Tamandua tetradactyla: one gene and its partner. The protein of the gene in region 1 binds, or shares a complex with, the protein of each later gene. Links are inferred from orthologs where the notes say so. Each region holds a gene or a part of one and is shown in the gene's direction. Other genes may lie near its edges. The genes, in order: KDM4A and H1-4.

Region 1 (9,781 bases):
GACATGTTGGAACAGTTTTTGGGATGGATAAGGGGAAGAAAATTTTGGAGGAACTGTGAAGAGGATGATGGAGAAGGCCTGAAGTGCTTGAAGAGACTGTTGGTGTAAATGGAACCACTGCCAATCTGGACAAAGGGGAACACAAGAGGGACAAATTGGAGTTTGCAGAGTGAGAACCATGGAAGCTTGGCTCTGAAGCCAAGAAACCTCAGGCCAGGAGAGTGGACCCACCTGTATACATGGAGGAGGTGAGTTTGCCCCAGGAGCAGAGGGCAAACCCTTTGCATCATTGCTCAGGAAGAGTTGTGCCACTCCAGGCATTGGAGAGGGTCGAGTGCATAAACAGGGGATTGGGGAGAGCCTGGCTACTACCCCAGTGTTCTGGAGGGGTTGAGTTTATGCCGTGAAGATGGCAGAGATCCTGGGTGCTGCCGTGAAGCTTGGAGGGGGTGGAGCTGAGCCAAAAGTGGTCTTCCCAATGTCCCCCAAGCTTGCAACCACCCCAGTGTTTGGAGAGAGTAAAGTAACTGCATGGGCTTGGAAAGTGTGGGACTGCCACTTTCTAAAGCCCTGAGGTTAAATGACTTTCAGACTTTGAAATCCAATGGAGTTTGCTCTGCAGGTTTTCAGAACTGTTTGGGTCTTGTGACTCCTGTGCTTCTTCCAGTTTCTCCCTATGGAAACGAAAACATGTATCCCATGACTGTCCGTCCTTTGCATATTGGCAGAAGATAACTTGTTTTGAGATTCATAGGTCCACAGCCAGAAGAGAATTTTTGCCACTTTAATATTGTTTAAGGTGATGTGTATAGTTGCCAAGTTGACAAGGGGTGGGCATGTGGTAGTTAGGTTCAGGTGTCAGCTTGGCCAGGTGAAGGTGCCTAGTTCTGTTGCTATGGACATGAGCCAATAGCATGTGAAGCTCATCTGTCGCTCATTATATCTGCAGTTGGCTAGAGGGCATACCTGCTACAATGAATGATGTTTGATTTAATTGGCTGGATGCTTAAATGAGAGAGCTCAAAGCAGTAGTCCAAGCAGCTCAGCATATCTCATCTCAGCACTTGCAGCTCAGCTCAGCCCAGCCCAGGCCTTTGGAGATGCAGAAAGGAATCACCCCAGGGAAAGCTGTTGGAACTCAGAGGTCTGGAGAGAAGGCCAGCAGAGTTCGCCCTGTGCCTTCCCATATTTAAAAAAAAAAAAAAAAAAAAAAACCTCAGATGAAAGTTAGCTACCTTTCCTCTGAAGAACTGTATGTTTTTAACTAAATAACCCCCCTTTTATTAAAAGCCAATCCATCTCTGGTGTGTTGCATTCTGGCAGCTTTGGCAGACTAAAACAGATGCCCATCTGAAGGTTGTAGGTTTCTGGTAAGTAATCATAGTGCATTGAACTTTTGTAGAATCTCAGAGCCCTAGGCGTTCTTTAGGATTGGCAGGAATAGTTTTGGTTGCCATTTGGCAAACCATGATAAATAGCAGTATCTATCTGAAGCTTGTGTAAAAGTAGCCTCCAGAATAGCCTCTCGACTCTATTTGAATTCTCTCAGCCACTGATAACTTATTTGCTACAGTTCTTTCCCCCTATTTGGTCAGGAAGGCACAGTCAATTTCACAGTGCCAGGGCCAGGCTCATCCCTGGGATTCAGATCCCACATTATCAGGGAGACTTTCACCCCTGGATGTCATGTCCCACTTAGGAGGTTGGGTAATAATTTTATTTGCAGAATTGGGCTTAGAAAGGGACCACATCTGAGCAACAAGAAAAGGTCCTTTGGAACTCTTGGCATAACTGTTGGTAGGCTTGGTGTCTTTACCACATAATAAGCTTCACATGAGCAAGCCTCAAGATCAAGGGCTTGGCCTATTGATTTGGTTTGAGAAGGTTATCAGGGTTTTCTCTCCTGGTAAAGCTTAATAGTTTCACTTTTTTAAAACTCCCTTCCCTCAAGGGACTTTACCAATACTTTATCTCCCTCCCCCACCCCGCCCTTTTATTTTTTTTGCATGGGCAGGCATCAGGAATCCAACCTGGGTCTCTGGTGTGTAAGGTAAGAACTCTGCCTGCTGAGCCATCGTGGCTAGCCCCCAACACTTTATAATTATCTGTTCAACATACTTTAGGATGCATCCAGGCATTAAATTAAGCTATACAGAATTATAAGCCCTCATTCCCATTTTAGGCTCCATGTGTTTGGGTTGTTTAAATGATCTATTCAGACTGGTTGATTTAGATTATGTGCTACCAAAAATGTAGGTTTTTGGACAAAAAGCGTTTCTTCTTTGTTCCCATTGGCTTGGTAGGTACTAAAATATAATGTCCTCCTTGGGATGCAAGGGCAGTTCAGTGGTAGAATTCTCACCTGCCATGTGGGAGACCTGGGTTTGATTCCTGACCCATGCACTTCCCAAACAAACAAGCAAGCAAAACCAACAAAAACCCAACCAAACAAAAAATTCAACAAATGGTGCAATAAGGGAGTACTCGCATGGAAAAGGAATGAAATGTGACCCCCATATACAGCATACAAAAAAGAAAAAAGAAAATACAATGTCCACCTTACCCCTGTATTCTGATTTACCTTAGTCCTGACCTGATTGGCTCCATTCTTATCCCTAACTGAAGCCTGATATATATACTCTGAGTCTTAGGTGTCACACAGGTTCCCAAAGTTGCAAGTAAATACCAGGTTATACATAGATAGCACAACCTCTCAAAATCTAAAAATAACAATTACCACTCTAGACTAAATGTGACATATACATTTTGTTTATCCATTCATTGGTTAATGGAAACTTGGGTTGATTTCATCTTTTGATAATTGTGAATAAAGCCACTATAAACACCTGTGTTCCAACATCTGTCCGAGTCCCTGCTTTCAGTTCTTCTGGACATATACCTTGAAGTGGGATTGCTGGATCATATGGCAATTCTATACTTAACTTTCTGAGGAACTGCCAAACTGTCTTCCACAGCAACTGTACCATTTTACATTCCTACCAACAATGAATGAGTGTTCCTATTTCTCCACATCCTCTCCAACACATGTAATTTTCCATTTTTTAAAAATAAAAGTCATTCTAGTGGGTATGAAATTGATTCGTATTGTGATTTTCATTTGCATTTTCTTAATAGCTAATGATGTTGAGCATATTTTCATGTGCTATTGGACATTTGTACATCTTTTTCTGAGAAATATCTACTCAAGTCTTTTGTCCATTTTTTTCTGTTTCTTTTAAGTTAAGGTAGAACACGTACATAGAATTTTTTACATTTTTAAGTGTACAGCTCAATGAATTTTTACAATGTGAATACAACACTGTAACCACTATCCAGGTCAAGAAATAGCACATGATCAGTACCCCAGAAGCACTGTGCTCCTCACAGTGATTCCCTGCTCCACCCTAAAGTAATCACAACTTTTTTTTATCACCGTACATTAGTTTTGCTTAGAAAGACCAACATTTAATGGATGCAAAGGAACAGATGAGCTTAAAAAGGAGACTGAGATAAACTAGTTAGAGAAATGGAAGGATGTCAAGAGAAGATGATCTAGGGCTCTGCCCATCAAATTCATACACCAGCTGTGAGCCAGTGATACAAAGTAACAGGGACCATGGAAGATCCTCTCTGGCAGCAGTGAGAGATGTAATAAGAACCAGTTCATGGAGCAGTCAGTAGTAACAGGAATGTTAGCAACTGTATCCATGTCCAGGACAGTGGAGTCCTGAGGGAAGACACCACATCTTGAGCTTGGTGGCAACAGCAAGGAAGGTGGTGGATTATCTCAGCTGCATGATTTGCATGGTTTTCCTTGTTGGGTATCCTCCAAGTTGGATTCTCCATACTTCCAGCAATTTTGCCAGCCACCCGGTATAATTATCGAGGGTATTATTTTACTAGGTCAAGGGAGAGAAACCTTTTAACTGTTGTGAAAGACTACTGGTTGCATATCCAGGTTTACCGTCTTTTTTGAAATAGGTATAGGGTGTATATTTTCTTTTTTCTTTTTCAAGAAGCAACGTGCCTAGGCCCAAACATGATTGGTCTAATTCCATACTATTCTATGTAACACAGTCTTTTTTTTTTTTTCCAACATGCCTTAATTCTCATCTTCACAACAATCCTGCAAGGCAGGTATTATCTTTTTCATTTTATTGATGGGAAAACCCAGGTTCAGAAGAATGCCCTGGTTTTGAAGACAGGTTTGATCCTATAGCTCTTTCCAGTGCACTAAACCATTACTCATCTCGGTAATTCTATCAACCTCGGTAATTCTGTCAACATTTTAAAAATGACTTTGGTTGTAAGTATTCTATTTTCCTATTTGATCTATAAGGAGGTCCTATCCGCCTCCTCCCCACCTCCCCCGGACAATCAGTGAGCTCCTAAAGGGACTCACTACCGCACAGGAACCGCCCCTAATGACTTCTAGGAACCCCCTTGCCCTCTCGAAGTGCCTCTAATGACTCCCTAGACCTTCCCAAGAGCTGCTCCTAATGACCCCCAATCCCCGGTCACTGAGGAAATACGCCTAATGACCCTCAGGACACTTACCCTTCCCTCAGGACCCGTCCTAACGACCCTCAGGGCTCTCTCCCCCAGGCACTGCTCTTAACTGTCCTCAGGAACCTGGGTGACCTGAGGATTGAGGGGGTTCCTAGGACACGCGACGTTAAGTTTCCGACCTAAGACCGTCCCAGGTAAACTGGGAGAAGTTGGTCACCATATGAGGAACTCCTCGTCCTCGAAAGCTGCCCCTAACGGCAACCCTCAGAAAACGACCCCACCCTTTCGTTAACACCCTGCCACAACCTCATCACCCTTACCCACCTGCCCGACCGTTCCATTTCTAGGTACCCGGTTCTTTCAATCCTGATTAGTTACGGATGGCCAGAAGCCCGCCTACGATTGGCCAGCTCCAAGATCCAGACGAGATGCTCAGTGGCCGCGGTCCCAAGTGGTACAGAGTTTCCTCCTGGCAACAGCCCGAGCCGGCGCTCATAGGTTAAGCAGATTGTTATCCCGGACTCTGAGGCGCCTGCAGCGCTTCTGCATTGGCTGGTTGAGGGCTTATAGCGATCCTCGGATTGGTTGACTCCGTGGTGCGCTACGCGGCTGCGCAGAGGCGGACTTTCGAGGAGGCGGAGCCTCGTCCTTCGCCGGCTGAGAAATCAGTACGATCGGCTAGTGGCGAGAGCAGAAGTCTAGCCTAAGCCCTGCTGGGGCGGTGGGCTTTAGGTGATAACCATAGAATTTCGGAATCGTTTAGGTATGTTGCCGCCGTAGTTGTGACCGTGAGTCCCGGTGGGGGAGGGGTGAGTGATAGGCATGGTTCTCGGCCAATGGGAAAAGGAGCTTTTAAAATGAATCCTGAGATTGGCGTTTTCCAATCTTCTATGGCCAATGGATGTCGGGAAGGGAGGGGGCGGGTTTACAAGGCCTTATTTTCTTCTTCCTGCGGCCGGGCCGCAGTCGCCTAGGCGGCGGGGCCGGGCGGGGCTGGACTTCTACCCGGTGAGGCTCGGGGACCTTGAGCGCGGGGGCTGCTACCTGTGGAGCGAGGGCCGCGGACGCGACCCCGAGGGGAGGGGGCGGTAGCTCGAGGCTGTTGTTAGCAACAGTTTCCTTTGCTGAGTGGTTGAGTAGCGGGCCTAGTGCTTAGCGTTTCGCTTGCATCATCTGACTTAATCACGGCAACCGTACAACGCAAGGGATTGGGATCCCCTTTTTGCAGGTGAAGAAACGGGCTCAGATAACTCTCACAGCCAAGGTCACACAGCTGTGAGTGCAGGGACCGGATATGTATTCGGAGTTGTTTTGACTCCGAAGTCTGTGTTCTTGAACCATTAGGCTTTGTTGCCTAATACGGGGAGTGAAGGTGTCAGGGAATGGAAGTTTACCGCATGAAATAGACTGGGGAAAGGGAATCCGAAGGTTGAAGAAAGGGCATGAGCAAGAGGTGACGGTGAGAAATCAGTATTCAACAGTTATCAGTGTCGGCTCTGCCATGCATTGTTCTAGATTCTAGGCATACGAAGATGAATAGGGCCAGAGATGGATGAAAATGGGCCCCTTCCAAGGCCCGGGGAGGGGCCCTAATAGGGTGTCCGCACCATATGTTTTTGTAAAATTTTCAAAAGTGAGATATTTGTGAATTATTTTTTGTTTGTTTGTTTAAAGGGGATCCACAACAGTGAACAAGCTTTATTTTCCACACTTGGATCTGCCCTTGCAAAAGACTTAATGTAGGTGGAGATAATGATGTTGGTCTCATAGAGTAATAGAATAATACTAGGAGTGCTTTCACCAATGTGGGCAAATTTCCTGGTATGTAAAACGGGCATAACAGCATACCTGCCATGCAAAGTTTGGTCACCTGGCCAGGAACACAAGGTTGTTATTTTTGGTGGTAGGTTGGGAACAGTTTCCTTCCCTCTGAGTACTGTCCAGCTCTCAGTGGGTCTCTTGGAACTGGGCTGTCATGGCTTTGAGGCCCAGATTAGGCAAGAAGAACTCCCGTACCTTTGGTGAGGCGGTTCAGTAGAGGAAAGGGCATACAGTTTTTCTTCCATAAACTGGCTCCTTTTAGCTGCTAAGCTTTGTCCTTTCTCATTTGAAAACGTTTATTCTGTTACTAGGTGATGGATAGCAAACCCATTTAGCCTTACGTTTTTAGGCTTCTTCTAAAAACATAATCACGTATTTCTTTTACCTTCTACAGTCAGTTATGAAGTTTGCCCTGTGTCGCCAGTTTATTACCTCGTTTTGTCCTTTGAGTTCTGGGTACAGTGCAATTAAACTAGTCTCTGGCTTGGCTTTATTAAATATGCTGAAGCTGCATGTGGTTTAGATGTGAGAACATATTCACTTTACAGTTTTAAAAATCATAGCTTGCAAATATTACATGGTATCGCTTTTAAGGGATGACTAGAAATACCAAATTTACCTAGATAAAAAGCAGGTTATAGAGGATGGAGGAGAAGGGGGAGTGTGCATTTGAATATAAAAATGGTATACATATTATATAGTTCATGCTACTGATATTAAAGTAGTTTTTAACCCTTAAACTTTGTAGCCATGTAACTTTTTTTCTTCTTTCTTGTAACCGTGTAACTTTTTAAGGAATCTAAAATCCTGTTTGAAAGCCGCTTTAGAAGTGACCCTTAGGTGGCTTTGTTAATCTGGTTGAAGTACATTATATTTAATTCTCTGAGAAGGCATTACTAGAGTGTGATTAGGGTGTGTCTTGAAAAGATAAAAGGATAAAATATGAACAGATCAGCTGTAGTAGGGTGGTCCAACAACCAAAGTTTCCCCTTTTGTATCTGAAACAGTGTCTCCATTTAAATGACACTTGAATACCTAACGATGTTGATACAGCAGGTTCTTTTTTTCCTTTTCTCCTGTATTTTATTTGTCTTACTTTCATGTATCCATATAGTGGTTTTACATTATTGCAAATTTGTGATTTTACTATTGTATTTGGATTTTGACATTAGGTTCCTCTAACTTCTAGAGTCATATTCCAAGTGTTGTGATATCTTAGTATTTCTTCAGAATTTTTGTAATCTTTCACTATTTTCAACACTGACATTCCAGCATTTAATTTTTATTATATTTTGTATCATTTTGTGTTTTTAATATATTTATTTAGTTTCTAATCTGACCAAAGTGACCTCAACAAGGAGGGAAAAATGGCATCCGAATCTGAAACCTTGAACCCCAGTGCTCGGATAATGACTTTTTATCCAACCATGGAGGAGTTCCGGAACTTCAGTCGGTACATTGCCTATATCGAATCTCAAGGAGCTCATCGGGCTGGATTGGCCAAGGTAAGGGGTGAGATTGTTCAACATGACTTTTTTTTAACAGAGGGCAACAGTAAGATTTTTCCTAAGTGATGCTGGAAGAACTGAATTTCAACACCTGAAGAATGGCTACTTTTAGAAAGGGAGAGAGATGTTGGGAATCTTAAAAAAAAGGGGGGGAGGTAAAGAGCTAGTGTCTCCAGGACAGCTGTTCTGGTGTTTTGGTCCTTATGGTGGAGATGGATGCTTTGGTGTTTTTTATCTGTCCAATGTCTTATGCCATCCAACTTTTCTTTCTCTTATTTCAGTCTCATCCAGCTTTCTGATAGTAATTTAACTTTCCATGTGTACTTTCTTCAAGATGGGCTAGTGCACAGGCCTGCCCAACATGAATATTCTATCTTTGTAATTTTAGATTGGTTTCTGGTTTGTGCGTCTTTCTTTGTGAGTTAGTTATTTCTCCTGAGTTGAATCAACCCCTGCTGTATTCTGGAGAGTCAAGTTCTTGAATCTCCAAAGATGAAATGAAGAAATTCACAGACGAGATTCAGTCTGAGCCAGGAGAAAGCTTTTCCCTATACTGTTTTATACTGTTTGAATTTCCTACTATGTACATGTATTACTTTATCAGTTTGAGAAAAGAAAGCAAGGACATTGATTACAAAGCTGAGGACCAGTCCTTGGATTCTGATGCCTTTGCTGAGGCTTGAGACATCTCTTTCTTTACTCTTATATATGGATATAGCTTCTGTAAGGTTAGTAGCAAATAGAAGCAGCAGGACTCTCAATATACCTTTTTTTCATAGGTCTTTTTATTTTTTTTGGTTCTCCTTCATTAGATTAAGAAAATTAAAAAAAAATTAATGCTGGTTATTACAAGTTAAATAATTCAATGATAGACAAAGAAAAGGTTAATTTTCATCACCTTCTCCAGTGTGCTGTCTTTTAAGGTAATCAGTGTTAATTGATTGGTGTATCTCATCCCACACCTTTTGCTTTGCCCACACAAATGTGCACACATATAAGACTGTATGTTTTATTTTCTAAACAGAATAGCATTGTGCCGTATGTTTTCCTGTGTGCCTTTGCTCTTCCTTACTCTCTCTTTCTTCTGTCCATCCCTCCCTCCCTCCATCCTTTCTTCCTTTCCCTTTATACCATATGTTCCTCCTTCTAGATCAGTTATGGATCTGATTCATTTCTCATGTTAATTATTTTGTTAACTTACTATATTATTATTGGAATAGGTAACATAACTAATTACATGGTGAAAAGGCAAAATGTGTTAAGAAAACAGATATTGCAACATCTTACTAACACCTCTTTCTCCACAGTTTCTTATGTATCATTCTGGTATTTTCTTAAGCAATACTAGTGTGTAGATGTGTTATTTTTCCCCTTTTACATGAAGTGTAGCATACTATAGCCACTTTTTTTTTTAATACTGTATAGTATTCTGTAGACTGTATGGACCTTAATTTATTGAACTCTTCAAGATTAGGATTTTGAGAACATTAAGCTTCTTTATAAATAGACTATAATTTGGTGTGTGAAAGAAGGAAGTTCTGTCAACCTTGTAAGCATATGCAGTTTACTAAATCAAGGAAAATTGTGTTGTTTTTAAAAGGAAGTCCTGGACTGTTAGACTAGAGGCAGTCAACTCTTCACCCTCCTATCTTGGTGCCCAAATATGATACTGAGGCTGAGAGCCAGTATTACTTGCCTGAAGACATTGCCCCTGAGCAACTAGTTAGTGACAGAACTAGAATAGGGTCAGCGTGATCGTGTTATGTTGTGTTTGAGTGAGCATGTTTAAGAAGAAATACCTTTCTAGTAAACTTGACTGTTGGGTTGGGGTAGTTGTCTGCAAACTTCTTGGACACTGACCAGCTTGCCTGGTTTCTGATCTGTCTCTGATGTTTCTTCTCTTCCCTGCAGGTTGTTCCTCCGAAGGAGTGGAAGCCACGAGT
Region 2 (8,326 bases), on another chromosome or scaffold:
CTATTGTGGCGCTTGCCTAATAGTCATTCTCTATTTCCTCTTTCCCTCTACACTTAATTCGAATTCTACTGCAAGGAGTTGTCCCCTCTTATTTAATTAATAAATTAAATAAATTAATTTAATTCATTCATTTGTAACATGTATTTATGTACCTCAATATGGTATCATGGATATTTATTTCATTCTAGGAGATAAAGTCCAATGCTTTAATACACAAATGTCAATTACTTTCTATTCACCAGCAATAAACAATTGGAATTATAAATTGATAACACAACACCATTTATGATAGTACCCAAAAAAATGAAATAGTTAAGTATAAATCTAACAACATATATATGAGGAGGGAAACTGCAGAACTCTGATGAATGAAATGAAAGAAGATCTAAATAAATGAGAGATATTCCTTGTTTGTAGATAGGAAGATTAAATATTATTAAAATGTCAAATCGTCCCAATTTGGTTCATAGATGCACTACCTTCCCAATCAAAATCCTGGCAAGTTATTTTATGGAAATTGACAAATTGATTATAAGGTTTATATGGAAAGGCAAAGACCTATAATAGACAATGCAATGCTGATAAAGAATGGAGGATTGACACTACCCTACTTCAAGACTTACTATAAAGCTGCCTGATTGATACAGTGAGGAGGGGGTAAAAGAATAGGCAAAGAGATAAAGAAAACAGAATTAAGATCTCAGAAATAGACATATCCAAATATAGTTAACCTATCTTTGACAAAGGAACAAAAGCATTTCAATGGAGAAGGAATAGTTTTTTCAATCATGATGCTGTAACAACTGGGTATATACATGAAAAAAAAAAAGGAATCTGAACACAGACCTTATACCTTTTCCAAACATTAACTCAAAATGAATTGCAGACCTATATTTAAAATGCAAAACTATAAAACTTGTAGAAGATAACATAGGAGAAAATCTAGGTGTCCTTGAGTTTGGCAATGACTTCTTAGTACAACTGCAAAAGCATGATCTAAGAAAGAAAAAATTAGCAAGTTGGACTTTATTAAAATTTAAAACTTCCACTCTGTGAAAGACACTGTTATGAGAATGAAAAGAAAAGCCACAGACTGGGAGAAAATATTTGCAAAACACATATCTGGAATATGACTACACCACTGAATTATATACTTGAAAATGGTTACAATGGGAAATTTTATGTTGTTTATGTGTTGCCACAACAAAATATTTTGAAAAAATATGGAACTCCACAACATAAAGAATAGACCCAAACAGAAACTATAGACTTTAGTTAAGAGCATAATAATATTGGTTCATTAACTGTAAGAAAGCTTCCACACTAATGAAATGTTAACAATAGTTTGGGGTAGAGACATATATGGGAACTCTACTTTCTGAAAGATTTTTCCGTAAATCTACAACTATTCTAAAAAAATAAATTCTAAAAAAGAAGAAAAAAGCCTCAAGTAATTGACAAAGGACTTGTATCCAAAATATACAAAGAACTCTTTAAACTAAGAAAACAAACAACCCAAGTAAAATATAGGGGGAAAGTGGAACAGAAACCTAGCCAACAGGAAATAAGCGTATGAAAAGATGCTCAGTGTTACTTGTCATTAGAGAATTGCAAATTAAAACAAGGAGATGCTAGTTGTAAATGGCTAAAAGCCAATACACTGACAATGCTGAATGCTGGTGAGGATTTGTAGTAAAAGAAACTCTCATTCATTGCTGATGGGAATGCAACATGGCACTGGCACTTGGGAAGACAGTTTGACAATTTCATACAAAGCTGAACAAAGACTTAAAAGGTGATTCAATCATCACGCTCCTAAATATTTACCCAAATAATTTGAAAACTTATGCCCATGCAAAAATCTGCACATTCATACAGCTTTATTTATAATTGCCCAAGCTAAAAGCAACCAAGATATCCTGCAATCAGTGAGTGGATAAAATGTGGTACATCATACAATGGAATATTATTATTCACCAATAAGAAGAAATGAGCTATCAAGCCACAAAAAGGGAGGAAACAAATGCATATTGCTAAGTGAAAGAAGCCTTACATACTGTAGATTCCAACCATGACATTCTAGAAAAGGCAAAGCTATAGAGACAATGAAAAGATCAGTATTTGCCAAGGTCTAGGAAAGGAGGAAGCAACTGTGGATAGGTAGACCACAGGGCATTTTTAGGGCACTGAAACTATTCTGTAAGATACTGCAATGGTGGCCATATGGCACTATGTAGTTGTCAAGATCCACAGAACTGTACAACATAAGAATGAACCCTAATGCAAACTACCAACTTTGGTTAAAAATATAATTATAGTAATACTGGTTCATCAGTTCTAACTAATACAGTACACAAAGCAAGATGTGAATAATAGGGTGTGTCAGTTTGACACTGTTGTGTACCCCAGAAAAGCCATGTTCTTTAATCCTCATTCAATATTGCTGGGTGGGATCTTTTTTACTGTTTCCATGGAGATGTGACCTACCCAATTGCGGGTGGTAACTTTTGATTAGTTGGTTTCCATGGAGATGCATCTCCAGCCATTCAACGTGAGGTTGCTTACTGGAGCCCTTTAAGAAGGAACCATCTTGGAAAAAGCTTTAGTGCCAACAGAACCTATACAGCCAGACACCTGTAGAGATGAAAGAAAACTCCCCCAGGGAAACCACTGAAGAAGCTGGGAGAGAAAGCTAGCAGATATGGTCATGTGCCTTCCTGGCTGATAAAGGTGTCCAGAAGCCAAAGACCCCAGCAGACGCCAACCACTTGCCTTCCCAGCTGACAGAGATGTTCCACATCAGCCTTTCTTGAGTGAAGGTACTCTCTTGTTGGTGCCCTAAATTGTTCATTTTCACAGCCTTAGAACTGTAAATTTACAACTTAATAAATTCCCCTTTTAAAAGCCATTACGTTTCTAGTATATTGCATTCTGGTAACTTTACAAACTAAAAGAAGGGAAACAGTGGAGTGGGTTTATGAGAACTCCCCGTACTTTCTGCACAATCTTTCTGTAAACTTAAAACTGCTGTAAAATTAAAAATTATTACTTAAAAAATTCCAGTATTATCATTTTTCATTTTGTACCAGCTTTGGCCATTAAATGCTTCTTTAGATTCTTTGTTTTTTCCAACAATTTCCCAAATTTTCTTGAACATCTCCTTGTTTTCTGGCACCACAAGAGATTCCAGACTCATTCTATATTTTCTCTGCCCCAACACGGGAGCCAGTCACTTCTCCAAGGAGCCCTGGTTTGTTTTCATTCAGGACTGGTACTTAGAAGCCAAGGATTGGTTGCTAGGCGTGTTCGTTTTTAGTAGAGTGTCACTCCTTATAGTCACTCTAAGCTGTCAGAGCAAGGACATATACGTGTGTGTACTAATCCATGCATAAGCACATACATCTATGTTTCTTATCTATATAAATATACAATTTCTCCATGTGGATAGTATCCACAGCACAGAATTGCTGTATTGACTAAATAAGAAGACAGCAGCACACAGTGCTGTAGTCAGTAGTAGGGATAATTATACAGTGTAAAATGGGGTAAGGAGCAGAGACACTGTACTTGGCTATTTTGGTAACCAAAAGACAGCCAAGGGCCAAGCCACTCTCTGTGGATAGAGAATAAAGCAGAAAATGCTTGATTTGTTACTCTTCTTTCTCCTTCTCCAGCCTACTCTTGTGCCCAGTCAAGTGTGAATCCAAGTAAGTCAAGACTGAATTGCTGCTGCTCCGATCCTTCCAACTTGTGATCACATCCAGCATGGACATCTTCATTAAGGTTTCACAGACAAGCCCAGCAATCCCCAGGAACATGACAGAAAACACTTTTGCCTTGTTGATGACCTCTGGTGAGATTGGTTTGCAGACTTAGCTGGACATCAGAGTTACTGGCCAAACTTGTTAAGTATTCAAATTCTGAAGACCGTCTGGAGACTTATTGGATCAGAATCTTTTGGATCAAGCTCTTGAATCTATATTTCAAACATATGCACATACACACACACACACACACACACACACACACACACACACACACACAGGATAGTTCTGATATAACCTGCCAGGCTGGCAAAGCAGAAGTACAGCCTTTTGATATTGATCCTATAATATCATAGAAATGTGTCAAATAAATATTTGATTTAATGTTGGCAGAACTTCAATGTCTTCTCTAATTCGGTGAAGAAGTTTTATGTATAGGTCTATTTAATTAAAGAGTATATAGGAAAGCACTCTGTACAATAAGAGCCCCACAGAATTTGTTATGTTTAAGTAACTCTGAGTCAGAAGCAGTGAGGTATACGTGGAATAAAGTGAGCTATTTGAAAGCAAACTTCAAAGTGTTGTACAAATTTCAGTCATTTGTGGGAGTAGTTTAATTTGTCATTAAAAATGAGTACAATCCCTGAGTTCTAGAGTCAAATGCCCACATAATCCAGTTGCCCTAGTAACCATGAAGGTGATGTGAAACTGCTTACACATTAAGGCTGAAGAAATATTGATGATTTACATCATTTTTATAAGACATTAAGCATTAATTTTAAAAGACTATTTTGAAACACTTCATTAATGCATCAAAGACCTCTATTCTCCTCTATTTCTGTAGTGCGGTTTGTGTGAATGGAGAAAACCTGGGGTAACAAAAATTAAAATGATGCTCAATGCCATGCTGCAGCTAGCCAGGTACATCACCTTATAACCTAATGCAAAATTGTATGTTGTCCCTCTAACTACTTGGCTTACAGCTTTTAAGACAGTTACAGACCATTTTCCAGGAATAATTCCTTTAGCTGGACTTTAATTGTCAACATATGTTCTTCCATTGTTTGGGCAGCTACCTATAAACAAACCCATTCTTTCAGGGGCTTTGTAAAGGATGTCTTCAGAGAGTGGTCACATAGTTTCAATAGCCTCTCAAAGTTCTGCTTCTGAAATGGAAATTTAAACTTGTTATTGAATCCTTACATGCCACTTCTTTTCTTTTTTAAATGGAGATCTGGGAAGCATTTGACCATAATCTTCAGAGGACCTGAAATCAGATTCTGAGTTGGCTAGTCATTCATCAGCTATTCAGTAATAATAGGGCCTGAGTTTCACTAATAATGTGAATAGATGGGCTATAATTTATGCTTCTCATTTATTTTTCCAGGTCTAACGAGTATATTACAGTTCGGTCCTGAAACATATGCCCAAAGAACTCAGCAAGGCTGCGGATAAATTCTTCAAAGTAAAGTGCATCCCCACTTCCAGTCACTTTCTGAACATTGTCTGTGTTTATTGAAAATGCACCCTTCTGCATCTCTGTACTCTGACAGTGTTTTGGAACCCCCTGCTTTCCCAAATATCTTGAATTTAAGGTAGCTCAACCCAGGGAGCAGTTGTCCAGAGGAAGAGAAGCAACAGCCCCGCCCCCAACCCTTGGGAGCCGAAAGGAAAAGAATTATCCTAAGGAATTGTTTAAAATAAAACTAAAACCCAGGTGAAGCGGACAGAAATAAAACCATGACTGTATAGACTGAAGTCCTGAGTATTCCCGAGTTAACCCAAAATGTACAATAATTTGTTTGGGATTAAACTAAACCAGTTTGATGAACTCAAATGCCCTCGGCTCAATAGGCAGGACTCTCCGAGGAGCCTGTGTTACTTCCCTCACTTAAGCGCAGATTTATAATAAAAATCTTAAAGATAGTGGCATGTTTTTTTGACATGTAGGAAGCTAACCACTTGGAGAATCGTATTTGAGAGGTCAGAAAACTCCACACTTAAAGATCAGGTTATAATTTACGAAGAAAATAGAAAGTTTTGTTGCTCTGAGTTGAAATTTGCCGAGGATGGCGGGAAATATTGATGGTTTTTGGCATAAGGATTTGTGCTTCTCTTATATTTTGAGAACTGCGTGAAGTCTGAGGCTTCAGGGATCATTTTCTGAGAAAAACTGGGCAATTCGGTGTAAGGAATTTTGATATTTTTGGCCTTTTTTGAGGTGTAACAAACACAACTCGGGATCCAAGAGGACACTCTGCGGCTGCCAGCGAGGCGGGCTGGACAGCGCACCAATCACCGCGCAGCTCCGCCCTTATATAAGCCGGCGGGCGCGGCGGCGGGGCCCGAGTCCCGGCCAGCGCCTCTGTTTCCGGCTCGAATTACGCTCCCCACGCCAGCCCGCAGCATGTCCGAGACTGCACCCGCCGCGCCCGCCGCTCCTGCCCCTGCAGAGAAAACGCCAGTGAAGAAGAAGCCCCGCAAGTCTGCGGGTGCTGCAAAGCGCAAGGCGTCGGGCCCCCCCGTGTCCGAGCTCATAACTAAGGCCGTGGCTGCCTCTAAGGAGCGCAGCGGCGTGTCTCTGGCTGCGCTCAAAAAGGCTTTGGCGGCTGCTGGTTACGACGTAGAGAAGAACAACAGTCGCATCAAGCTTGGTCTCAAAAGCTTGGTGAGCAAGGGCACTCTTGTACAGACCAAGGGCACTGGTGCTTCCGGCTCCTTCAAGCTCAACAAGAAGGCGGCCCCGGGAGAAGCCAAGCCTAAGGCTAAGAAGGGTGGTGCGGCCAAGCCCAAGAAGCCCGCCGGGGCAGCCAAGAAGTCCAAGAAAGCGACGGGGACGGCCACCCCGAAGAAGAGCGCCAAAAAGACCCCAAAGAAGGCGAAGAAGCCGGCGGCAACTACTGGGGCCAAAAAGGCAGCGAAGAGCCCGAAAAAGGCAAAAGCAACCAAGGCTAAGAAAGCGCCCAAAAGCCCAGCTAAGACCAAAGCGGTGAAACCTAAGGCGTCCAAGCCAAAGGCGTCCAAGCCGAAGGCCGCCAAGCCAAAGAAGGCGGCAGCCAAGAAGAAATAGGAAGTTCCCTTTGGCCAACTACTTAAAACCTTCAATACAACCCAAAGGCTCTTTTCAGAGCCACCCCACACCTGAAGGAGAGCTGCTGCACTTTCAGGGGGGGCGTGGCTGGTAAGAAGCCACGAAGGCGGGAGGGCGGGCCTCCTGGGCAGGAAGAAGGTTGGCGGGAGTTTCCTATTGGGGGGTACAGTACAAAAAGTTGGAAGCGCTGACGGGTTAATGGTGTGGGCGTGTGTTCTCGGCAGCTTGGGTTGGTTGGTCCTGCTAGCGATCCTGCTAGCAGTGAATGCACATGGTAGAGAGAAAACGACAGGTTTCCCGGACTTTCGCGGACCTTGCTGGGCAGTGGGAGAGCGTGGCCGTAACAACCCGCGCTATCTTCAGCGGCAGCCGCACACCTCTCCAGGCGATCGGTACGACTACTGGGGACCCACCCACTAGCCCTAGGCCAGACGCAGTCAGCAGAGGTGCTTTCAAAAGCAGGGAGCTGGGGATTCCACACAAAGGAGAAGCTAATGTATTAGCATAGTTGGCCTGTCTGCTTTCTGAAGCATCTAGCGCTCGGTGTCCGAAAAGGTTCATTTTATAGTACGCTCTGGTAGTCCTGGTGTTGGCTTTCTGATTGGGTCAAAGCAGAGTAACGAAATAGCCAATGAGAAAGTAGACCTGCAAAAAATCATTTACGTTCGCATTTGTGACGACATTCTGAAATTAATCCAATCGTAAGTGAAATCCTATTAACTTAATTTGAATACCGCGTCTATAAATAAATGCGACCTCACTGCCACGGGGTATTTCCGCAAGTGTTTGATTTAGAGTCTGTCTGTAACGTTACTATGCCTGAGCCCACCAAGTCGGCCCCAGCCCCGAAGAAGGGCTCCAAGAAGGCGGTGACCAAGGCGCAGAAGAAGGACGGCAAGAAGCGCAAGCGCAGCCGCAAGGAGAGCTACTCGGTGTACGTGTACAAGGTGCTGAAGCAGGTCCACCCCGACACCGGCATCTCGTCCAAGGCCATGGGCATCATGAACTCGTTCGTCAACGACATCTTCGAGCGCATCGCGGGCGAGGCGTCGCGCCTGGCGCATTACAACAAGCGCTCGACCATCACCTCCAGGGAGATCCAGACGGCCGTGCGCCTGCTGCTGCCCGGGGAGTTAGCCAAGCACGCCGTGTCCGAGGGCACCAAGGCCGTCACCAAGTACACCAGCTCCAAGTAAACCTGCCAAGTAAGCGTCTTTACGCCTAACCCAAAGGCTCTTTTAAGAGCCACGCATGCTTTCAACAAATGAGTTGTCATCTTTTAATCCCAAAAGTTATTGTTGAATTTATCTTGCCAAACTTAAAGGCACGCTACCGTTCTTTAATGTCTCATTAGCTGTGTGGGGCACTTGTAAGGATCCGTCAGTGATAACAATAGCATAAATTGAGCTTTCAGTATGTTTAAATAATACAGTTCTATAGGACTCATTTAGTATCCCATAACTAGATATTA

The links.
Region 2: the proteins of KDM4A (region 1) and H1-4 are in contact, whole or in part, in a crystal structure (PDB 6H8P), measured with the Homo sapiens proteins. The link is inferred for Tamandua tetradactyla from reciprocal best matches to the Homo sapiens genes KDM4A and H1-4. Residues at the interface, in NP_055478.2 of Homo sapiens: Ile71, Asn86, Ala134, Asp135, Asn137, Thr167, Ile168, Glu169, Gly170, Val171, Tyr175, Tyr177, Glu190, Asp191, Ser196, His240, Lys241, Ser288, Thr289, Asn290, Asp311, Met312, Val313; in NP_005312.1 of Homo sapiens: Ala24, Arg25, Lys26, Ser27, Ala28, Gly29.

Annotation. Positions count from the first base shown.
Region 1 is NC_135328.1:180,348,435-180,358,215, reverse strand, and holds the start of KDM4A (lysine-specific demethylase 4A), read left to right. Parts: upstream 1-5,113; 5' UTR 5,114-5,272; exon of another isoform or gene 5,273-5,517; intron 5,518-5,607; exon of another isoform or gene 5,608-5,737; intron 5,738-6,183; exon of another isoform or gene 6,184-6,248; intron 6,249-7,657; 5' UTR 7,658-7,697; coding exon 7,698-7,835; intron 7,836-9,749; coding exon 9,750-9,781. UniProt on the Homo sapiens protein: Histone demethylase that specifically demethylates 'Lys-9' and 'Lys-36' residues of histone H3, thereby playing a central role in histone code. Does not demethylate histone H3 'Lys-4', H3 'Lys-27' nor H4 'Lys-20'.
Region 2 is NC_135351.1:29,455,423-29,463,748, forward strand, and holds H1-4 (histone H1.4), read left to right. Parts: upstream 1-6,121; 5' UTR 6,122-6,171; coding exon 6,172-6,834; 3' UTR 6,835-6,947; downstream 6,948-8,326. Other genes in the region: histone H2B type 1-M-like, read left to right, coding at 7,605-8,051. UniProt on the Homo sapiens protein: Histone H1 protein binds to linker DNA between nucleosomes forming the macromolecular structure known as the chromatin fiber. Histones H1 are necessary for the condensation of nucleosome chains into higher-order structured fibers.